Linked DNA regions of Drosophila melanogaster. Changing the gene in region 1 together with any one later gene gives a genetic interaction. Each region holds a gene or a part of one and is shown in the gene's direction. Other genes may lie near its edges. The genes, in order: if, mtm, 14-3-3epsilon and CalpB.

Region 1 (4,724 bases):
AATAAAATAAACTCCTCTAAGTAAAAATAAGAACAATATGAACCTCTGACATAGTTCTTTTGTCTGTTTCTATTTTATTAAACAATCTTCTAAAACCAAAAAAAATGCTTAATGCGCGTGGACGCGATGGCGATGGAGGACTGCAGGAGTGCGGATCGATTGCATACGAGTGCCAATTCAGGTGGCTACAGCGAGTTGATGATCTTCCGGCTTCGCATCTGCTCCATCCAGCTCTCGTACTGCTGCTCCGGCGTCTGCGGCTCCTGGTAGTAGTGCTGCGGCGGCTCGCCCTCCTCCAGGCGCACGAAGTAGTGGCAGTGCTTGTACTCCACTTTGCCGAAGCGACCGCGAGCATGCCGCCTCACGCCCTTGAAGACGCGTCCCTTGCCCACGAAGGATTCGGCTGGTAGGTAAGAACAGACAAAGATTCATCAATATAATGGTTAGTGATGAAGAAACTAATGATAATCCATCATTCATAGTGGATACATAGATTCCTTGTGCCCCTGCGGCTCACCTATCCACAGATTGCTCTTGTACTCCACGTTATGCCGCTCCACGGCTATTTGCTGGGCCTCCAGTATGGTCTCCTTCACATCGGTGGCCCCCTTTTTGAGCACAAAGTTCAGCTGCTTCAGCGCCTCGTCGACGGACATTCCGCGAACAAAGGCAGCGATGTACCACATCTTGTCCGGACTGTATTTGATGTTGCTGCGCATGTGGCAGACATACTGTGCAATGCAAGTGGATTAGAGGATTGCAGCTGGAGGGGTAACAGCAGTGCGTTCGAAATATGTATCTTACAGCATTTCTGGGCTCCTCGTCCGTTTCCTGCGGCGGATGCACGGTCTTGTTGTACTCCAGCCATTTGCGGGGTCCGTAGTTGTACTTGTTCCACTTGGCGCACAGCATTCCGGCGGAAGCGGCCGTGTGCAGGGATTTCGACTGGAGGGCAGGTGGTGAAACTGGTGATATGGCTGGTGATATTGAGCTGCTATCCGCCGATCGGAGGAGCGCTGCTCCCTGTGGCGCCTGCAGGCGCAGCTGGGACATTTGCCGGATCACCTTGTGCATCTTAGCTTGCTTGAGTTATCACAGCAAATCCAGGCAATTCAATCCGGAAGGGAAAACGCAGACTTTCCGTAAAAAAAATAATCGCGTAATCTGCCAGTGTGACCAATGGCAGCAGGTATGCCGTGGACCTAAAACGTACCGCACAAGCGGCTGATCTGCGAGCGGTATGGCAGCGTTTGATTAGGATATGTAAACATCTGGCAGCGCTATCGATATTGCTTGAAAATATATTTATTTATTAGATTTAAAAAAAAACTTGTAAAAGCAAGTTGGTACGACATAAAATTATTAACTTAAATAAGAGCATATCAGCAATTCACATTTAGAAGCCATTAAAATAATGCATTGAAACGGAAACATTTATCTCCACACAAATTAGCAATTAATACACATTTTCATAAAAATATGAAACCTAACAATTAAAGTACCCATTTGGAATTGACCATCTTTAAAGTATATTAAAATTGAAAGACATAAATATTCCTTATGCACTATGTAACTATTCTAGTTCAATATTATACACTTAAGTTGATCGTTCTCAACAGCGCGTCGCGCTCACTTTTGAATCGCCCAACGATCTGGCATCCCTGCGTGAAATTTGAAATTGTATCTGAGGAATTGCTAGCCATCTGAGTGCTGCATTCGGTGGCGTGAAGCGAAAGTTGCCTGGTGTAAAGTGCGGAGCGCTCGCGTTCGAAACGGAAATTCAACGGGCGCCAGTTTTGATTCAAATTCGCGTATGCAAATGCAATCGATGGTAATTGAACGGCGAAACATTTATATTTGCGTGTTATCTGATACATATATCCAGCCATCGAAAATGTTTACCGGAGTTTCGAGGGCTCATTGTTTGTTTTCATTAATTTGCATTGCCAGTTTGCTCTGCCTCGGTTAGCCGGCGAATTTGCTCGTATAGTCGAATTGCACTACATTCCGAGATCTCGTGATTGCGAATCTAAACCATCTGGATAAATGGGAAAACCCATTTTCACTGCAGCGTTCTCATTTTCGAGGCAGAATTAATTTGCACCAACGCACATGCGAAAATGTTGCATATCGTGCAATTAAAACTTATAGATTTCAAAGCTCATTTAGTTAAAACTTTGAAAAAAGTGTATTTACCTTTTTCGAATTTTAAAAAATATATACATTTTTTTAATTTCCGAATGGATATAAGCTTGTGTATATGAACATAAAAATCATAAATTTATATGTGATTCCATTTTCGAAATAAACGTTCTTCCATATGTACATATGGCCCAACAAAATGACACATCAAATGGTCGAAACTTTTGCTAACGGAAATTACAGACTTCCCACACGAAACTCACCTTTGAAATTTTTTTCGAGTGGGATGCTCGCTACATACATGTGTAGATAATGAAAAAATAAAACTTTTGCTATCGTTTTGGTTGTTTGAGAGCTTTGCGTTTGTTCCGAGATCGCTCTCCCGAGTCTAAAAACTAGAGACTACATTGGTTGGGTATTGAGTAGGCGATCTGGCACGAGCAGTTCACCCATGTATCTCTGGCGGTGCTAAGATGTATCTTACAGATACTGTGCGCCATTAGTCGTCGTTTAAATCTTGCTGCGTTCGCTGCCGAGGTAGAGCAAACACCAAATGTCAAATAGCAAATCAAAATATAAATAATACAAACAATACCAATTGAAAGTGAACTTTACTTATTAACAGCACAACACGCGACGCGCCAACAAATTGCTTGAAACATTTTTTTCCAGTGTTGCAGCACCAGTGAAAAGTGCACCGACCAAATAAATTCCCAAAATATACGCATATTAAACAAAATCTGACAAAAAAACACAAACACAAAAGCCAAAATCAATAAACTAATGTCGCAGCTGTGTTTGCACCTCCGACATTTTGTGCAGTGTAGAATTCGATCTGTATATGCACGTCTATATATACATGTGCATATATACCTAGATATAGGCGGACTCTGCTGGGCGTAGCACACAGCTTCCAACTTTTTAGATTTATTTTTAGACAATGATCGTTTTTTCCACTATTTTGATGTGTTTTTTTTTCGTATTCATATCTTAACCATCTGGGCAAGATTGTATGGCAATTCCAGTAGTGACTGTTGCCAAATATATTCAATTGATGTGCAAAAAAAAGAAGAGAAGTGTTCAAAAAGGGTCTCAAACCTTTTACTTCAAAACTGAAGGTTATTTCGTTAATTAGTAGTTACAAGTTCAAATGATGATCAAATAAATGGGAAACGAAGAAATATTTTTAGAAACTTTCGCCAGCTTTTGCATTTAAATGCAAATTGCACGCTTAGGAAGTTATTTATGCAAATTTAGCAACTTTCAGTTAACAATTGTGTTCGCCTGGCAACGCATTTCAATTTTTAGCCTGCAATTTGTGGGCCACGAAATTAACTGTCTTATTTATATTGACACATTCGCCAGTCATTTTGAATGCCAGCCGCATGATCAATTTGTTGAATGTTAAATGGTGTACACCATATGGCGCGTTCTACAGCGAATTTTTAGGTTGTTTTTTTTTCCTCTCTCTCGCTTAATTATAATTCATTTTCTTGTCTATGAATGGCAGCCGCCCATCAATGAACTCGAATCGCCCACACTCGGCGGAAAAACTGGGCATAAAAAGTGGAAAATGTGTCAAATGTCACCTGCACAAAACCGCCTACAACTTGTGGGATTCTTTTCCGCCACAGAAACCTACGTACACTGCAAAAAATATCCAGCTCAAATACTTACTTAAGGTCTTGATTTCTTCAAGTACTTGCAACTGAAATAATATTTTGAATCGTTCGATACCAATTGCATTTTCAACTTTTCCTTGAAAGTTATCTTCAATTTAAACTAAAGTTGTGTGGGAAGGGCTGGCTGGCTGGCTTTCAATCTGGCTAAAAGTCTAATGGCTTTTTGGCCGTTATTTTGTTATTTTGGCCAACCTGTTTGACGGCCCATTACGTCACCATCACCATCATCGCGATGCTGAGCGTAGAACGCGCCAAAATCTAAGCATGCAGCAAAAAGAAAAAAATCCAAAAGCAAACATGAAACCGTCAAAAATGTCTAAAAACAACAAATCAGATTTTAGAATTAGACAACAATATATGAACGACCCGACTGATACCCTAGCATTTTGCTGCAGTGAAAAGGAGATGATTGAAATCATTTAAACAAAAAAAAAATAAAATAAAATAAATAATAAAAAGAAGTGAGAACCTAAAGTGATTTGTTAAAAAATTAACAAGAAACCGTTTTAATGAAAACAAAAGCTACTAAATATAAAAATATAATATAAACAACCTTACATGCAAAGAAATATAATTAAAACCTAATAATATAATAATAATCGATAAAAATAAGTTCAAATTATCGGATGACATGCATTTTATTGATTTTTTGGCATTGACAGTTTAATAGTAACGAATAATTTGAAAAGAAACTGAACCGTGTAATAAAGATACTCGTAATTGGCCCGACATCCGACTTCAGACATTAGATATCCGACCAGCCCTAACCACCCCGCCCACTCCGCGATTCCCAAGGCCAACAGATCTTGATTATGATGTTAAGCGAGAGAGAGAGAGAGAGCGGGCGAGTGGGTGCGAATGAGAGAGGAAGATCGCAGACGTTGAGATAGAGATATGTGG
Region 2 (4,695 bases), on another chromosome or scaffold:
GAACCTGCTCTGCGCTGCGACACCAATTGATGTGATGTTCCAGGTGCGGAATAAAGTTCCTACACACAAGCGGAGTGAAGAAGTCGCGTTCCAAGTTGATGCCCACCGAGAGGCGAGACAAGGAGGTCAAGGGAATGACTTCGTCATCAACTTGTGACTCGATTAATTGAAGAGATCTCGTCAGCACGGCCTCCACGACTGCCTCGGAGTTTGGTATATGCATTTTGCGCAGGTACAGGTAGCATCTACTGAGATCATCGATCTCCAGTTGGTGTACATAAGGGGCCAACTTTGGGAGCACGTTAAGCAGCACGCGATCCGTGATGGCATCTTTACTTGCCTGCTCCGCGTCGTGATAGATGTTCCACAGCAGTGAGATTCCCATCACCACATGGGAGCTCTGCAGGCCGTCACAGCTCTCCAACACATCTAAAATCTGGTTACCCGTCTTGGCCTCCTCCAGTCGGGTTAGAAGAGCATCCTGTTCCCGTGGCACGCCAAACTTGTCTTGGAGATCTCCGTTCACCAGCTGCGAGTGCTTCCTCAGTTTTTGGCCCAATGCCGGCAGCAAGGCAGCTGTTTGGATGGGCGGCTTTGCGCCAATGTTAACGTGCCGTCGCAGGAGCTGAAGCTGACGCACTCGCAGAAGGTATTGTAGGTACTTCCATTGTGTCCGCGGCAGGTGGTTCAGATACATGCCACTTTATCTCACGCTTATTCAGAAATCGTTGAATAATAACAAAATTACGCCGTATAAACATGTGAGTGAATTTTTGGCGATCAGCTGGTGTCGGTGTTGCCATGAAATCCTAATTTCCATTATACTGAAACCAATAATGGAATCAATGTGTAAAAAAAAACTTAAAATAATTTCTGAACTGTGATTAGCGGTATACAAGTTAGATAAGTAATTACTTAATTCGTAAGTAATTTGTTTATTTCGTCAAAAGTTTCATAGTGGCAACTCTAGTTTTCAACAGGTTGTTGACGAGTTGACATTTCTGTTTGTAAGCAACAGCTGATAAGCAGCTGACCCTAAATAATTTAATAGGCTAGAGCGTTATCGTTGTTAAACAACTAAACAATGGCATACACTGATCCTGCGCAACGAAACCAGGTGACCGTGCTCCAGGTCGGCTATTCTCGCCAAGAAGAAGGAGACGAGTCCGCCATGCGGGCTAACTGCACATGCACACTGGTCCGCTGCCGGGATGGCACCAACATAATCGTGGACACACTGACGGCCTGGGATGGAGATCACCTGCGTTCGTTGTTGGGCCAGCAGGGACTAGGCGTCGATGACATCCACGTGGTGGTCTGCTCTCACGGACACTCTGACCACATCGGTTGCAACTATCTGTTTCAGAAGGCACGAATGCATTTGGTCGGCGCATGTGCCTCACATCACGACCTCTACATGGACCACCTTGGTAGTGGTAATCCAGACGAGCAACTGGCCCTAGATTCGAATGCCGAGGTGGTAGTGAGGCGGTCGCCAGGACACACCCTCAGCTGCGTTTCAGTTCTTGTGGAAAATTCCCAGCTGGGTGGACGGGTCGGTATCACCGGAGATCTCTTCGAGCGTCGCGAGGACATCGACGATGAGAACATTTGGATGGACGCTGGAAGCGAAAACGAGAAGGTGCAGCGCGAGGAGCGCAGTAAAATGGCACAACTGTGCGAGTTTATAATCCCAGGACATGGTCCGATGTTTTCTGTCACACAATCAATGCGCTGTAAACTTAAAGAAGACGCCACTTCTAACACTTAATTTATTAAGCATTAAATACATATGTTAGAGATTTTTTTAAAAGCGGAATTGTTCTAGCTTTCCTTGATTACCAGTTAAATGTCTGAAATAAGTTGATTAATTCCAATACATAAAAATCAAATTTTCCGCCACTACATAATGTCCCTTTGGTACTTTTGTCGGAGGAATGGGAAATTATTCCAGATGATTTTATATTGCGTGAGTTGGCAGCACTGCTGCATGAGTTTTGGTGAATTGCATTTAGCTAACAATTGGAAAAGAAAACACAGCTGCAACCAGCAACACAATAGCCAAACACCACTCGTGTCCATCCGAAAATGGATCCCTCCGCGAGCCTGGCCGACAAGTTGGCCTCCAAGACTGCCAGCAGCAACTCTCTGGACAGCAGCTCCAAGTCCAGTTCGCTGGGCTCCAAGCACGGTGGCGGAGAAAACGGCATTCTGCGGGACACGCCCTTCGGCTATCTGGAGGGCGAAGAGGACCAGGACCAGAAGAACGACGTGACCTACGTGTGTCCGTACCGCGGCCCCGTCTTCGGCGCTCTTACCATAACCAACTACCGTCTGTACTTCCGGTCGCTTCCCCTGCGGGATCAGGAGCCGCCCGTCGTCGTCGACGTGCCTCTGGGCGTGATCGCGCGTGTGGAGAAGATTGGAGGTGCCACGTCTCGCGGTGAGAACTCGTACGGCATCGAGATTTTCTGCAAGGACATGCGAAACCTGCGATTCGCCCACAAGCAGCAGAATCATTCGCGGAGGACGGTGTTTGAGAAACTGCAGGCCAACGCCTTTCCGCTCTCGTACAGTGGGCGCCTCTTTGCATTCGCCCACGCCGCGGCCAACTCTGTGAACGGTAACGGAGGCTGGGACGGCTGGGCGGTATATGAACCGCTGGCGGAGCTGCGCCGCTTGGGCGTTCCCAACGATATGTGGCGGGCGACCAAGCTAAACGAGTCCTACGCAATTTGCGACAGCTATCCGGCCGTGTGGGCTGTGCCCAAAGCGGCCTCCGATGATTTCCTGAGGCGCGTGGCACAGTTCCGATCGCGCTGCCGCCTGCCGGTTTTGTCCTGGATGAACCCACGGACTCAAGCGACCATTACAAGGTGTTCCCAGCCGCTGGTGGGTGTAAGTGGCAAGCGAAATTCCGACGATGAAGCATACCTAAGCTTTATCATGGAGGCGAACGCCCAGTCAGACAAGTTGACCATCATGGATGCGCGACCAAGCGCCAATGCGATTGCTAACAAGGCCAAGGGCGGCGGCTACGAGTCAGAGGACGCGTACAAGAACGTGGAAATCAACTTCCTCGACATACACAACATCCACGTGATGCGGGAGAGCCTACGCAAAGTGAAGGAGGCTTGCTTCCCCACCACCGACGACTCAAAGTGGCAGACGGCTATTGACAACACACTGTGGCTAAAGCACATTAGGTGCATCCTGGCCGGCGCCGTTAGGATTGTTGACAAGGTGGAGACCATGAGCACCTCCGTCGTAGTTCACTGCTCCGACGGCTGGGATCGCACAGCCCAGCTGACTGCTCTTTCCATGTTGCTGCTCGATCCGCACTATCGCACAGTGCGCGGTTTCGAGGTTCTCATTGAGAAGGAGTGGCTCTCCTTTGGCCACAAGTTCCAACAACGCATTGGTCACGGCGACAACAAGCACTCGGATGCAGACAGATCTCCGGTGTTCCTGCAATTTATCGATAGCGTCTGGCAGGTTAGCCAGCAGTTCAACAACGCATTTGAGTTCAACGAGCACTTCCTGATAACCATCGTGGATCATCTGTACTCGTGCCGCTTCGGCACCTTCCTCTGCAACACGGAGGCCGAGCGTGTGGCCGAAGGTTAGACTGATTGCTGTTTGCATGGGCTTGGAAGTAATTTTCACATTTATTGTAGATCTCAAGCACAAGACAACATCCCTGTGGACGCACATCAACTCGTCGCTGGACCAGTATTTGAATCCACTCTTTCCCTCGTTCACGCACGGCGCCGAGCTAGTGCTGCGTCCGATTGCCAGCGTGAGATCGGTCCGCTTGTGGAAGGGCCTATACTGTCGCTGGAATCCTGGTCTGTGCGCTCCTCAGCATGGCTGCCAGCGAACCCGCGAACTGCTATCCAAGCAGGACCAGCTCTTTAAGCTCGTCAACGAGCTGCGGCTCAAGTCGAACAACCGCAGCAACAGCATGCAGACAACTACGCGACTGGCCTCGCCTATGCACTAATAGTATTGCTTTTTTATTCCCCCTACTTGTACGCATATGTAGTGCACGTATTGTGAACTACGTTCTAATTCCAAATAAAAGTTTTTCTTAAATGGAAAACTAGTCGATTCAACATTGTATCATTGAACCACATTATCGAATCTAATTAAAGTGTTAAATGTCTGAGAATGTTTTAATTATTTCATGAATAACATCATATAGTTCAAATCGTATAGCGTTTTCGCAGCTCAGTGGAGCTACTTTTATATGTGCCTTAAACTAGTTTGGATGTCAAAAAGATACCTAAACAGGTGACCAACTGTTGCACGCTCCTTGTGATTCATTCATAAACACCGCTTCATAGAGGCGCCTGCGCGTTGGACTACGCACGTTAAATCCCGAATCCCACTTTTGACACCACAGGACACAAAACATTTCGGCTTTGCGCCAAAATTAAATCACAGCTGCCTCAGTACGACATCGCACGTTCATTGGGACAGACGTGTTCCGATTTCCGGTAGGAAAAGGGCAGGTGTTTGTAAAATATCAGGAAATGCGTTCGGAACTCTTAGAGTTCCGCAATAGATATTAGTTATGCCTACTAGGATATGTGTGCTGTTTGGGCTTCTGTGCCTCGCAAGCTTATGCTGCGGTAGTAACAAGCCAGGAGAGGTGCTCCTGGTTATCGCCTGTCCCCCGCATCCTCAGCAGGC
Region 3 (7,932 bases), on another chromosome or scaffold:
GCCAGCAGTTGGACCATGTAAGGCACCTGCTGGGGCAGAAAGATGCTCTGGGTCAGCGAGTGACTGGCCGGCTTCTCGACGCCCTTCATAATGGCAGCCGGCTGCTGGGATTTCGTCACACACTGCACCTGCATCACACGGTCCTGGAGAATCTGCAGCACCTTGTAGCGTGCCAACTGATTCCAGGGGCACTCCAAATGGCTCACGCTACCGCCGTCTGTCGTGTCCAGCGAGAGCTGGAACTGCAGCTTCTTCGTCGGACAATCGTTGGCCAGGAAATTGGCGTGAATCTCCTCAGCCCGCGCCAAGTATTTGGCTATCTTCGCCTTGGCTATAAATCTACGCTCCTCACTGCTATCCTGCTTGGCCCCATTGAGCAGCAGGTCCACACCATGCTTGTACCTCTCGTGGGCTTCGGCATACTCCAGGTTAACCTCCGCTTGGACGGCATGACTGAACTCTAGAGCCGCCTCATATATGTAGTCGCTGTCGTCGCTTTCTATGGAAGCCATGGGCGTCAGAAGGCGGAGATAATCCCTCTTGGTCAGCGCTACGTCTGTCTTGGGCTCCTGTTTCGTTTCTAATTCGATTTCAGTTTCTTTGGCCTGGGATTCGTTGTTCGTTTGCTCCTTATCACAGCGCGGATCTAGAGGCGTGATGCCCCCCGCGTCGTGTGGGTCATAGGGCAAGTCTAGTTTATCGCAAATGTCGGCTATGGCACCAGCGCAAGTTCCTGTTTCCGAACCGCCACTTCCGCAGCCATTGTCTTCCGTCTGCAGCCGCAGGGATCGCTCCACATATAGCTTCTTAAGTGGCGATCCGTTTGGCGAGGGTGTCTCCTGGAAGAACTGTGTGAAGGTTGAGCACTTGTACAGCGCCGGATGCTGCGCTGCAAAGTCTAATAATTGCAGGATGTACTCCTTACGCCGTTGGATGACTGCCGCATCGAATCTCTTGAAATATGTGCTATCTGTGGGCACTGGCAACTTGCCGGGTAGTTGGAGACTCTTGTGGCGCCGGCTAAGCTCGCGATGCAGCCGCTTGACATCGTGGAACCGTTTCCACACCACCAGGCAGGTCAGAGCTTGAGGTACCGACCTTGGGAAGACCTAAAAGTGGGTGAGGTTTACTATTTGGAACAGTTCATCTGCCCCCAAAAAAAACGACTTACAATCGAGGTGATTTTGTATATTGTGTACCCGCCCTTGTGCTCCTGGGTGTCCGTCACTGTGAAGCTGTGGATCCAGCCGCCCAGGTTGAGAGTCATTCTGGTTTCTGCTGCAAGACCTGGTGGTTTAGTTTCTAAACATATTTCCCATATCAAATGTCGTTGTTCCCCAACTTTTTTGCAACATTAAAGCTAGTGTGACCAAAGGACGCCAAAATAACCACTTCCGGACTTCGAAATTAAATAAGAGCATTTAGTAGCTTATTTTTTTAACTTAGAAGGATTAAATTAAACCATAAAAATATTAACTGTTTTTTAAACACTTTTATTTAAAATAAAAAACGGTCACATTTTAAAATTTAAAATTTATACTCTAATCGAAAGTATCATAAGTATCGATAGTCTGCAGTGCATGTGGGTTATGTCATGACTAATGACAAATTGAATTGCACAGAAAAGGTGGAAGTCCCTGCTAACGACATTGCTTCATGTGTTCATTTAATACAACATATTTATAGCTATAGCTTTTTTAAATGTGTCAATTTACTATAACATTTTAAAACTTCCGAATAAAAGCTTCACACAAACGGATTTTCACAAGTAATATCCAGATAGAAATACCATTTTAAAAAGAAATTTTTCCGATTTTACCACCATCGCTTGCGCATGCGCACGGAACGCGTGATGCGTTTTTAAGTCCGTCATTAGGCCATCGCCCATCAATTTTAGTGTTTCAACCGCCGCCCGATACGGTCACACCGCTCGAGAAGTAGAGAAAAAAGAAGGCGACGAACCACAGGCAGCAAGCAAAATCGACGCCGCACGTACCGGGAGCATTTAAATAATTTTTTCTGTGGATTAATTTTACCGAAAAGGCTTCAACACAATGACTGAGCGCGAGAACAATGTGTACAAGGCAAAGCTGGCCGAACAGGCCGAGCGCTACGACGGTGAGTAGTGATTCCGAAAAAAAATGGTAGCAAAAATGGTAGAAAACGGTAGACAAATGCTAGTAGAGTAGGGAAAAAATTTTCTCGACTGAGGAGCGCCAACGTTTTTGGGGAGGGGTCGCCTGGGATTTTTTTTTGTCTTCCCGATCCATTGCGTCGTCGCGTGGTCGTTGAAAAAGTCTAGAGCTCCGCTTTTCGTCCGAATGTGCCAATTAAAAGGTTTTCTTCCAGAGAAAACGATGGAAATTTTCAATTTTCATCGCTGTAGCTGCATTCGAAGCGACGCAGCGTCGCGATGAGTAGTATTTCTTGCGAAAAGAACGGGAGATGGAGGAAACAGTAAGAAGAGGAAGAAGCCGAAGAAGAAGCAGAGCGTCGGAAGAACGAAAAGAGATGAATAGAGTGTAAAACCTGATTTTTACCGGCAAAAATTCGCGTGGTTTTGCACAAAAAGAGAAAGAAACGGAATTGCGTATTATAATTTACAGCAAATAGTTTGCTCCGCTCTTTCTTTTTTGGAACTATATAGTATTAGTTTAGAAGGGGAAAATTTTGTGTATTTGGCGTTGCGAGCAAGGGCTGCGCGGCAGCTAGCATTTTATTTTCTTCCTTGGTTGCTAAGGGCTGTTTGCAGTTGATTCCAGTTCGCGTTCTTTTTTTTTCTTTCTTAGTAGTTGTCAAGGCGTAACTTTCTAGAAACGACACATTTTTTGGGGATTCTAGTTTCTTAAATACACTTATTCCACACCCAAAATCAATGATTGTGGGGCAGGGGTAGGTGCAGTCCTCTCTTTCAGACCCCCTCCCCCTTTTTTTCCACGAAATGTGCTTTTCATGCGCAGCAGCGGCGTCGTCACCATGCCGTTGCTGCGAAAAATCGATGAATGAATCGATTGTGTCGCCGGCTGTCTCCCTCTCTCACTTTCTGCCTATTGCTTAATTCTTTATTTATGCAAATTAGTTGCGGCTAGTTGCAAGCAGTTATGCGGCCACTTGGCAACCCTATCTGATAATGCGAAAAAAGGAAATATAAAATTTTTCTGTGCTTCTTCTGTTACTCTCGCATTACTCATGCTTATGCGCATGTATGCATGCGTGTGTGTGTGTGTTTGTACGGAGGTGTGCGTGTGCCGATGAGTGTCCGCCGGGCGGTTTTTATTGTTGCTTCTTCTGTAGCCTTTGCTTATATTTAATTAAAAATACTCCAATTAATTAAAAAGCCAGCTCAAAATGCAAAGAAAGTCGCAGTGGGAGGGGGACGGCAAATTCGGCATTTGCAAAAAGCGCGCGCTTAACCAATTGCCATAAACGCTGCGTGCGCCAAAACGAGATGGCTAGTGTGTCGAAGTGTCGGCGACGCTGCACAGTGGCTGTAAAAAGTTAACAAACATTTGGCGATTCCTCTGTCTGCCGTTCCTTCCTGCTGCTGTACTTGGGCAGCGACTATAGCAACAATAATTGCAAACGGTACTCTGCACCTAATTGCCTGCAAAACTGACAACATTAACGGGCGGTGGCGGCGGCAAAGAAGTCAATCAACTATTAGCACACACAAACAGGGCATACATGCATACATACACCACTGGTGGGGATATTTGTGTCTGTATCACATGTTTGTCTTCTTATTTTCGCCCATCGGTGTGCGTTGGTGTGCAGCACTTGGCGTTGGCCTTGTCACACTCGGACATTTTGCGGTGGAGCTCATGCTGGAGCACCAATACCATTGCGCGCGAAGAGAGAGAAAGAGCGCGGCGGAGAGCGAAGCGGAGCGGCAAAGCCGCCAGCCGGCAATGTCTGCGCCCCCAATCTGAACTTGCCTCGCCCTCTCCGCCCCTGATCTCATCTCCTCTTCAAACCCCTGCTCCCCTTTTCTGCACACATTAACGTCAGCCTTTAAGTGTGCTTTCTCAGGTGCTGCCCCCTGCGCCCACCATCCCCCGCTCCATGCTCTTTCCATCTTGCGCTCTCTGCGTTCTATCTACATTTTTTTCGAGGTCGCGCGCTGCTTTTTCCGTTGATGTTCGTTCTCGTCAATGTCGTCAATATGCGCAAAAGGCAGACAAAAAAAAAATGAGTGGAAAAAGTAGCATACATACGGTTGATTGATGGGCGGTGGGTGGCGGTGGTGTTAGGTGTGTTTTGTTTGTTGCTCGCTTTTTGCTCAAATTGCACCATTTTAGGGGCTGTTGTTGCTGCTTCCTTTGTCTAATTACACATTCTCTGCCCGCTGTAACGGTATGTGCGCATGTTTTTTCAGCTGCTGCGCCCTTATGCGACTCACACACACACACATACACACACACACAAAACCACGCGCACTCATACCCACACGAGCGCAAGACACACCCACAGGCGTCTCATAAGGGAGGGGTGGATCTCTGGGGGCGTGTTGGTAGGAGGGGGTGGAAAATCCTGCCCATTCCTTTTGCTCCCTATTTCGTCCCAATATTTCATTCCAGCTCGCGTGACTTCTTTTTACTTTTGGGTGGTGGTGGATTGCCTTTGCAGGGTTGTCGCTAGTTTATCAAATTCCAATACTTATTTCTTGGAAAAACAACACAATTGAGATGACCACGCTCATCTTTGCAATCAACTTGTTTATGAAAAAGATTAATCATTTTTTATAATAAAAAAGATGAATACTTTTCAAATGTAGTTCAACTACTCACGAATCTACTTAGAATCTATTCCATACTATTTTCGCCAAATTTGCTAGACTTTCGTGAACTTTGCACTTTCTACTGAAAGTTCATATGATTCGAGAAGTTTCCATACATTTCTTTTTACCACTTCGTGGTTCCGCAAATGATTTATCATGCCCGCGGGACTTGGCTCTTTATTTTTGGGACGCGTTTATTGATTTTCGCCTTGCTATATGTACATGATTTAGTGACTGGTCTGACGCGCATGTCTCATAATTGGTTGTGGATTACTTACTACTAAGCAACATGTGCTGTATACTTTTAAAGTTGCAAGGATCCCAGCCACCCTTCACCACCCAACTGCGCTCCCCCTCCCCTTCCCCCTCCCTACCCACTCTCAAGTTCATTTTTTATGCGTAACTCAGCATAGCTTGCAAGCGTTGTAAAATGCGTGTGCACATCATCATCCACATTGGTTTCAAACAGCCCGCCAATGCGAACAACAATGTTTGAAGTTCAATCACAGCCACAAATATTCGTGAATCATGCAACTTTATTGGCAATTTTTCACAAATACGTGCTACAACAAAAATCGCACTAATAAGCAGACAGTCGGCAAATGTCCCGATGTCTTTGTGTGTGAGTGCTAGTGTGTGTGTATGTATGGGGGTGTTGGTGTGCGAAATACGTCAGCAGCTGACGGGCAGCGGGTGCGAGCGAGAGAGGGCAGACAGTGCAAGTCAGCAAACGCGCTACAATTACAATATTTTGAATAGTAGTGTAGTCTAGCTCTGTATTGTTATCAGCCACCAGATATGCCCGAGATAGTTAGCCTGCAACTGGCTTTACCCAGACAGGCAGCACTGCAATGATAATTTAGATGATTTGGTTCGGAAATATCTTACATTTCCTTTGGTCAGATATCAAAAACTAATCTTGCATAATTCCAAATACTAATCATATGCCCGAAAAGCATTTAAATGAACTTCGAAATATATTTAGACTTCAATTGACTGACTCGAAAAAGGAAATGAAATGGCCAAATGATATCAGCTCTTAACCTACTCACTTTAATTTGATAAACGAGCTCCTTGTTTGCTTCCGTGTTGAGTTCCGAACATGTGATTCATGACGCAGTTTTAGATGGTGATGCAGACGCAGATAGAGATGCCCCCGATGGGGACGATAGGATTGGGTGCAACAATGTGGCGGAAGCCCTTATCACCGGCTGATTGGATGGCCCCGTATTGGTATTGGTATTGGTATTGGTATGACAGAACCAGCTAAATCAGGCGTAGACGCAACGCCACCTTATGCATAAATATATCTGCATAACTTATATATCATCGCGGATTGGGCGTGTCGGCGATAAGAAATGGAAAATAGGTAGTCTAGGCTGTCGCGAGGGGACAAGGACAAGCGGGAGGAAAGTCCAGATAACAAGCCTTCCATACCTTGGATAAATTTATCTACGCAAAATGTATATAATGTATGTATCTTGTTGGCTTTCCAATTGAAATGTTTGGTTTTTATTTTTAATCTTAACATGAAATATATGAAAGCAATTCAAAAATTATATGAACAATCAAACAAACATTTGTATTCTACGAAATTGTTGATAAAATAGCGTCCGATAGCATTGTTTAAACTACATCATAAACATTACTTCTTACTCACTCAAATGAAGTATTTGTTTAATGATGTATATTTTCCTTAGGCATTGCAGAATGAATATACATATATGCGAACTAATGATTAAACTAATCGTTAGTTAATGGGCAATCCCTTAAATTTGGTTTGAGATGTTACACTTGATTATTGTAAACATTTACTCTTATATACTAAAGACCACACCTTTCATTTGTTATGTCCTCTTTACAGAAATGGTGGAGGCCATGAAGAAGGTCGCCTCCATGGACGTAGAGCTGACCGTCGAGGAGCGAAATCTGCTGTCGGTGGCGTACAAGAATGTGATTGGAGCACGCCGTGCCTCGTGGCGCATCATCACCTCGATCGAACAGAAGGAGGAGAACAAGGGGGCCGAGGAGAAATTGGAGATGATCAAAACCTACCGCGGACAGGTGGAGAAGGAGCTGCGCGACATCTGCTCGGATATACTGAACGTGCTCGAGAAGCATCTCATTCCATGCGCCACATCCGGCGAAAGCAAAGTATTCTACTATAAGATGAAGGGCGACTACCATCGCTACCTGGCCGAATTCGCCACCGGCTCCGACCGCAAGGATGCGGCAGAGAACTCGCTGATTGCCTACAAGGCGGCCAGCGATATTGCCATGAACGATCTGCCACCAACACACCCCATCCGTTTGGGCTTGGCATTGAACTTCTCGGTGAGTGATTGTGAAGAGACACGATGTCGTCATATGTTTTCTATATATATATTTTAAAATCCTTGCAGGTGTTCTACTATGAGATTCTCAACTCGCCGGACCGCGCTTGCCGCTTGGCGAAAGCCGCTTTCGATGATGCCATTGCCGAGTTGGATACACTGAGCGAAGAGAGCTACAAAGACTCGACACTCATCATGCAGCTGCTGCGCGACAACCTCACATTATGGACGTCCGATATGCAGGCAGAAGGTAAGTTGTAATATCACATCCACTTGTTCGGCTCCGTTATTAAGTTCTAAATATTATACTAAGAAGTAGACCCCAACGCAGGTGATGGCGAGCCCAAAGAGCAAATCCAGGATGTTGAGGATCAGGACGTGTCGTAATTTAAGTAAACCCCCGCCCTTCCATTTAAAACACATTATATACCTTCTAAAGTAAATATAATACCATATAATATATATGCATACAACAACAACAACAAAATCAACAACAACACGACAACAACTTCAAGAACAACAACATGGAACCAATGCGGCAACAACAACCATAGCAGTCGATCACCACAACAGCAGCACCCGTATGTGTATCAACATATTTGCAACATGATAACAGCAAGCAAAGCAGCAGGAACACAAATTGTCATCCACAATAAACAGCATGGAAAACAACAGCACAAAAACAGAAAAAAAAAACAACTATCCAAGCAAAATGTTTGAAAATTGGGCGGCCTGGTGGGCGTGGCGCGGCTGTTGCTGCGGCCCAGAATCGAATCGCAACATAAAAAATTCGCGGTACTATTAAGTTGGCGTCGCTTCGCA
Region 4 (6,857 bases), on another chromosome or scaffold:
GCCAATTGCTTATTGAACACCTGAATCAGCAGCTCCTGCCCGATGCGGTTCTCCAGCATCCGGATTACGAAATGCGCTTTCCTTCGCATCGCCTCCACATACTTCGGCGATACGGTGTGCAAACTCTTGATGGGAAAATAGTGGACAATCTCCTGCTGTTTGCTGGAAGCCGCCGATTGATTTGTGCCCGAAACAGGCAAAGGAGCTGGCGGCTGACTGCAATCGAGAATAATGCCGCCATACTGCTCCTCGTAGCGAACGACACGCGCCAGTTCAGATTGCACCCAAGCACGGTACTCGTTGTTGCCGAAGCACTTCCTGGAATACAATCCACACAGGTACTCCGCAATGCCCTTGGCCAGCCAGGTGTCCGACCAATGATGGGATGTAATAAAGCAGCCGAAGAATTGCTCAGCCACAGCGCGCGACATAAAGGTTCGAGATATATAGGTCTGATCGATGATAGCTATGGAGTGCAGCAGATTCACCGAAGCAATGCTCATAGTGGCATAGGCACTTATGTCCGTGTCCAATTCGTCTACAAACACTTGTTTGTAGCAACTGAATGGGTAGCGCGTAGATAAGGTCTCCTCGTAAAATTCAAATGCCTCGTGCAAATAGCGAACCGTATTTTTTAACAGCGGCAACAATCCGGGCAGACAAAAGTGGGTCACTTCATGCATGTGCGGATCCACGTAGATCTCAAACTGACCCACAGCCAGCGCAATATTTGGTGCACATACTGGTGTGCTAACCGAATAGTGGAAGGTTTTCTTTCGCAGATCTGGGGTCATAATGACTTCTAGAAGTTCTCCACACGAAACGGCGGTCATATTTTTGTCGACAGTGAACTCCAGCCGCCAGGTGCAGGGATCGGCGAAACTGTCCACGCAGGGAAACCACAATCTCGACGAGTTTTCATAGCAATTGGTGAACATATGCGAGCTGTTCATCTGTGTCTCCTCGTCCGTTGAAGCGGGTGGTATGACAAAATGTACGCCGCATTTGGGATTCTCCAACGAGAACTCGATGCGGATGCGCAGACCCTGACCCTCCTGGATCATAGAGTAGCCCTCGGGCGGAACCTGGATGAGCAGTTCGCCGTTGTTCACATCGGGATCGGTGTACTGGGCGGCGGTCAGATGATGCTTGGAGTAGACCTCCAGCGCGCGGCTCTTGTGCTCCTTGTAGCAGATGTTCTGGAAGGGATCGAAGTACGTGAAATCCGCCTGGCAGACATCGTTCAAAACGACGCTGTAGATTCTCAGCTGCTTGGCATTCAGGCGTATCAGGCGCAGATTCTCGCTGTTCGGCACAATGGTCAGCTCGACCACGCCCTAAAGGGAGGAGGTGTGTTATGTTTTGTACATATTTAAGTGTATCTAAGTTATATCCTTACGATTATGCTCCTCCGCTCGAAACTGATGCCCGTGAGGCTCACAACCTGATGCGCCGTGCTATTCAAAAGGGAGAACTCATTATTTTTGGATTCCTAACAGAGCAGGGTGAATACTTATAATTTAAACGGTCGCAGCGGCACCTCGGGCACCTCAGGTTGCGTTTCCATCGCTCAAATGCCGGTTCTGCGCCAGAATTTATTAACTAATTTGCGTTTGTTATAAAAAAAAACACAGCACTGTTTAACTTCTTCTTCTTCTATTGAAAATGCCGACAGGGCTAAAAAAATACCAAATTCATTCGGATAAAGATGGCAACTCTGCGCGACAATGTAGCCCTGCTCGCCTTTTTTTAACCCTCGAAACGTGTTGGGTCTTCAATATTGACACTAATTTAATAGTTTACGTTCGTAAACAATATAGACTACATAACTACTTCTCTAATACCATAAAAATACATTTTTTAGAAAACTAAAATTTATTAAAAGCTATATTTGTTTTTATTGAAACTGTTTAATAAAACAAAATTAATATTTCTATAATATATTTTCTGAGTTAATAAATGAATTAGAATGTTATAAATATTTCATTCTGCATTTTCAAAGCTTTTTTGATTGCACATGCATATTCAAAGAAAATTTATACAGAACGCGCAAGGGTTAAAGATTATGAATCATTTACCGAGAAAGTTAAATTTGGATACTTCTCCCATTTAAAGCGTACGATTCTCAGCGAGTCAGCAGTTTTACCACGGCAGCGAGTTAATAAACATCTGGATATCATCCAGTTCCGTAGTTTTAGCCGATTTGCAACGCCATTAGTAGTTAGATTTAGGGAAAAACCAGTGCGTGGACGAGGAAAACCACAGCGAAAAACCAGTAAAAATGTACGGCATTGATAATTACCCCAAGAATTATCATGCCAGTGGCATTGGCCTTGTCAATTTGGCGGCCTTGGGCTACAGCAAGAATGAAGTCAGCGGCGGGAACGAAGGAGGAGGAGCTCCCAAACCCAAAGCGGGTCTCTACCCCTCGTTGCCCTATCCATCATCCGAATCCGTGGGCGGAATGCCATATGTGGTAAAGCAGACGAGTCATGCCCAGAATGCTTCGTATGCGGGACCCACCATGGGCATGGGAATGCCCGTGCCAGAAGCCCCCTCAGCGCCGGCTCCATACCCCAGTGCCACGCCATACCCTGGATCAGGACTTTATCCTAGTCTGCCATCAGCCAACGTATCATCGCTGCCGTACCCCACTGCGCCTATGGCGCCCTATCCAACCGGAATGCCCTATCCAACTGGCATGCCGCAGCCCAATCTACCCTATCCGGCGGCTCCGCTCGCACCATATCCATCTGCCATGCCCGGTTTGCCCGGTATGCCAATGCCGTACGCTCCCATGCCAACGAGTCCGGCTCCCCAGCACAATATCGGATTCCCAGCACTACCATATCCCACGGCACCGCCACCGGAAAGTGCTCCAACCCAGGAGGAGGAACCTTCCGTCGGCGTGGCCGAGCTAAGCTTCACCAGCGTGAAGGTGCCCGAGAACCAGAACATGTTTTGGATGGGTCGCAAGGCCACTAGTGCCCGGCAGAACAGCGTAAGCAAAGGCGATTTCCAATCGCTGCGCGACAGTTGCCTGGCTAATGGAACCATGTTCGAGGATCCCGATTTTCCGGCCACCAACGCTTCGCTGATGTACTCACGACGACCGGATCGCTACTACGAGTGGCTGCGTCCCGGTGACATCGCCGATGATCCGCAGTTCTTCGTGGAAGGCTATTCACGATTCGATGTGCAACAAGGAGAACTTGGCGATTGGTAAGACCAAACGCATTAATAACACATAAGTGGACATAAATTCAAAAATTAAATATTCCTTCACAGCTGGCTACTGGCTGCAGCTGCCAATTTGACGCAGGACTCGACGCTCTTCTTTAGGGTAATCCCGCCGGATCAGGACTTCCAGGAGAACTACGCTGGCATCTTTCACTTCAAGTTTTGGCAGTATGGCAAGTGGGTGGAAGTGGTCATTGATGACCGTCTGCCCACCTATAATGGCGAGCTAATCTACATGCACTCCACGGAGAAGAACGAGTTTTGGAGTGCCTTGCTGGAGAAGGCTTATGCAAAGCTGCATGGATCTTATGAAGCACTCAAGGGTAGGAAATGGAATATTATCAGTATTTGTAGAAGCGTAGAAAATTTGTGGCATACCAAAATTTATTTTAGTTTCTAAAAATACACTATGCTTATCATATGTTCTTAAAAAAAAATAAACTAATGTGGCACTTATCGCGGTTAGGACTTTGTTGAATAGATCTGAAATTTAAATACTTTCATTCTAATAATTTTTTTGTAACCATCTCTTCACGATTAGGCGGCACCACGTGCGAGGCCATGGAGGACTTTACTGGCGGCGTCACCGAGTGGTACGACATCAAGGAGGCGCCCCCAAATCTATTCAGCATCATGATGAAGGCCGCCGAGCGTGGCTCGATGATGGGCTGCTCTTTGGAGCCGGATCCACATGTTCTGGAAGCGGAGACGCCACAAGGTTTGATTCGCGGTCATGCATACTCCATTACCAAGGTGTGCCTCATGGACATATCGACGCCCAATCGGCAGGGAAAATTGCCCATGATACGTATGCGTAATCCATGGGGCAACGATGCCGAATGGAGCGGTCCGTGGAGCGACAGCTCGCCTGAGTGGCGATTTATTCCGGAGCACACGAAGGAGGAGATTGGCCTGAATTTCGATAGGGACGGCGAGTTCTGGATGTCCTTCCAGGACTTCCTCAATCATTTTGATCGCGTGGAGATATGTAATTTGTCGCCCGACTCGCTGACTGAGGATCAGCAGCACAGCTCTCGCCGCAAGTGGGAAATGTCCATGTTCGAGGGTGAGTGGACATCGGGAGTAACAGCCGGCGGTTGCAGAAACTTCCTGGAAACCTTCTGGCACAATCCGCAGTACATCATTTCGCTGGAGGATCCCGACGACGAGGATGACGATGGCAAATGCACGGCTATTGTGGCCCTTATGCAGAAGAATCGACGTAGCAAGCGCAACGTGGGCATCGACTGTCTGACCATCGGATTTGCTATATATCATCTCACAGACCGTGACATGCAAGTGAAGCCCCAGGGACTCAACTTCTTCAAGTACCGAGCATCGGTGGCGCGTTCACCACATTTTATCAACACGCGCGAGGTTTGCGCCCGGTTTAAGTTGCCACCTGGCCACTACCTGATTGTTCCATCGACCTTCGATCCGAATGAGGAGGGCGAGTTCATTATTCGCGTCTTCTCGGAGACAAGGAACAATATGGAGGAGAACGACGATGAGGTTGGCTTTGGCGAGACCGACGATCGCATTGCTCCGTCTCTGCCGCCACCGACTCCAAAGGAGGAGGATGATCCGCAGCGCATTGCACTGCGTCGTCTGTTCGACAGCGTGGCTGGCAGCGATGAGGAAGTCGACTGGCAGGAGCTGAAGCGCATCCTGGACCACTCTATGCGCGATGTTATGGTGGGCAGTGATGGCTTCTCCAAGGATGCCGTGCGTTCGATGGTAGCCATGCTGGACAAGGATCGCTCCGGTCGCCTTGGTTTCGAGGAGTTCGAAGCTCTGCTTACCGATATTGCCAAGTGGCGGGCGGTCTTTAAGCTATATGACACCCGTCGCACTGGCAGTATTGATGGATTCCATCTGCGCGGAGCACTCAATTCGGCTGGCTATCATCTGAACAACCGGCTCCTGAACGCCCTGGCCCATCGCTACGGATCGCGGGAGGGACAAATACCATTCGACGATTTCCTGATGTGTGCCATCAAGGTTAGAACATTCATCGAGATGTTCCGCGAACGGGACACGGACAATTCGGACACGGCCTTCTTCAACTTGGACGACTGGCTGGAGCGAACAATTTACTCTTAAATTACTTGCAATTGCTACTAATCTAATCCTAAGTGCGACGTATACTTAATCTACCTGTGCATCATATTATTCATGCATTCAAATGAGAAAGCCAACACACAAATCCATGACAATGCGATCCGGCGATGCAAAGAGATACACTCACTGAGCCAACAAGAGAATCTTATCTATATGACCATATCCGGAAATACAAATCATGTGGCGAAATTGGAGTGGCCTTGGAACGGCACGAGGTTGCTACGAGTATGCACGGTAAACAGTATAAATCCCGCATACACAATTCAAAAAATTAACGCTATAGATTTTTTTTTACCATGCTGCGCAACTGGAGGGATGACTAAGAGCAAGCATCAATAGCAAATCCACTCCATGCACCTCGTCAAGAGCCGGAAATTTACTAGTACAAACAGTGCATTATTACCTTACAATCGCTATGAGACGCTCGGAAAGCCATTAGAACGCATCGACAATATTTATTAGATATACGGAATGAATAAGCATGTATTTTTGTAACATCGTTAGCTCCGAGCAGTCCACATATTTGCCCAGGTGCTAGAAATAAGTCCAGCCAAACTCTGTTACCCAAACAAACGTTGTTATTATTATCAGGAAAGTAACGCGAAGCGAACAAGCCAACCAACTCATCGAATATTTATAAGCTTAAGCAGAATTTCAGAATATCAGTCAATTTATTGAATCACATCAAAAAATGTAATACGCATATATTTTGTATTTAGTTTTCAGATCAGTAATCTCAAAACATACCTTAATTAGGCACCCTCTATGTCAAAATAAGTGTTTAACTAACTGAAATTAACCAATCGGGTTTAGAGGCTCTTTTTGTTGGATGCTTTTATATTTTACTATAATTTTTGTGAATTAATCAAAGTTACTCTTGTATGCAATTGTTACTATTAATAATTTGTTGTCCGACTTTTTGTATGCATATAAATAAAATGCAGTGATGATTCAATCTACTTGACGACTATAACTACATCAGCACCATTCGGGACGCCAGCATCGATCATTATTTGCTTCATTTCATCTATAGCCAGATTGTTATCGGATGCCAAGTTATTTAGGACCTCGAGAAAGTCTTCGTACTCCAAACGCCATTTCCTGAAACATGTATTTGATTAAGAATGATATGTAGATTTGATGTAGTTACTCACTTGTATCGCATGTATATTAAACCGGTCTGAGTTCGAGTTATGGGATTGGGCATGAGCTTGGCCTGCTCTAGCCAGGCGTCCAACTGCGAGAGGAGTATGCTGTCAAAGTACTCGTTCTCGATGTCGGTGGGTATGACCTGGCATCATTTAGATGAAAATTACTCTTCAATTAACCGGGTCATTCATCATACCTGGAAGTTGGAATACACCAAGAACAGGCTGTCCAGCGTGTGCTTCTTTGGTTTATCTTCATCATCGGCCATCGTGTATTATGTGTGTTGGGTGTTGTGGTGTAGTGTATTAAATCGAATTTGTACAAACGAGAATGGTTTCCCCTGGCAG

What was found.
Region 2: of if (region 1) and mtm, changing one enhances a phenotype caused by changing the other (phenotypic enhancement), as found in Drosophila melanogaster (one study listed by BioGRID).
Region 3: of if (region 1) and 14-3-3epsilon, changing one suppresses a phenotype caused by changing the other (phenotypic suppression), as found in Drosophila melanogaster (one study listed by BioGRID).
Region 4: of if (region 1) and CalpB, changing one enhances a phenotype caused by changing the other (phenotypic enhancement), as found in Drosophila melanogaster (one study listed by BioGRID).

The regions. Positions count from the first base shown.
Region 1 is NC_004354.4:16,780,425-16,785,148, reverse strand, and holds the start of if (inflated), read left to right. Parts: upstream 1-1,714; 5' UTR 1,715-1,831; intron 1,832-2,603; exon of another isoform or gene 2,604-2,679; intron 2,680-4,074; exon of another isoform or gene 4,075-4,285; intron 4,286-4,724. Other genes in the region: mRpL22 (mitochondrial ribosomal protein L22), read right to left, coding at 186-403, 518-731, 805-1,074. UniProt on the Drosophila melanogaster protein: Alpha-PS2/beta-PS is a receptor for Tig, wb and Ten-m. Involved in the function and/or development of the olfactory system.
Region 2 is NT_033779.5:6,034,205-6,038,899, reverse strand, and holds mtm (myotubularin), read left to right. Parts: upstream 1-1,884; 5' UTR 1,885-2,088; coding exon 2,089-3,622; intron 3,623-3,677; coding exon 3,678-4,003; 3' UTR 4,004-4,169; downstream 4,170-4,695. Other genes in the region: CG31643 (uncharacterized protein), read right to left, coding at 1-697; CG9117 (uncharacterized protein), read left to right, coding at 1,085-1,771; CG9109 (uncharacterized protein), read left to right, coding at 4,577-4,695.
Region 3 is NT_033777.3:18,240,792-18,248,723, forward strand, and holds 14-3-3epsilon (14-3-3epsilon), read left to right. Parts: upstream 1-1,895; 5' UTR 1,896-2,054; coding exon 2,055-2,118; intron 2,119-6,641; coding exon 6,642-7,111; intron 7,112-7,179; coding exon 7,180-7,360; intron 7,361-7,423; coding exon 7,424-7,497; 3' UTR 7,498-7,788; downstream 7,789-7,932. Other genes in the region: CG7156 (uncharacterized protein), read right to left, coding at 1-1,109, 1,172-1,267. UniProt on the Drosophila melanogaster protein: Positively regulates Ras-mediated pathways. Acts downstream or parallel to Raf, but upstream of nuclear factors in Ras signaling. Three mutants have been isolated, that suppress the rough eye phenotype caused by mutated Ras1 (sev-Ras1 v12).
Region 4 is NT_037436.4:9,887,003-9,893,859, forward strand, and holds CalpB (Calpain-B), read left to right. Parts: upstream 1-1,759; 5' UTR 1,760-2,281; coding exon 2,282-3,222; intron 3,223-3,288; coding exon 3,289-3,563; intron 3,564-3,781; coding exon 3,782-5,343; 3' UTR 5,344-6,317; downstream 6,318-6,857. Other genes in the region: Taf2 (TBP-associated factor 2), read right to left, coding at 1-1,337, 1,400-1,454, 1,518-1,567; CG6709 (uncharacterized protein), read right to left, coding at 6,318-6,462, 6,516-6,652, 6,707-6,778. UniProt on the Drosophila melanogaster protein: Calcium-regulated non-lysosomal thiol-protease.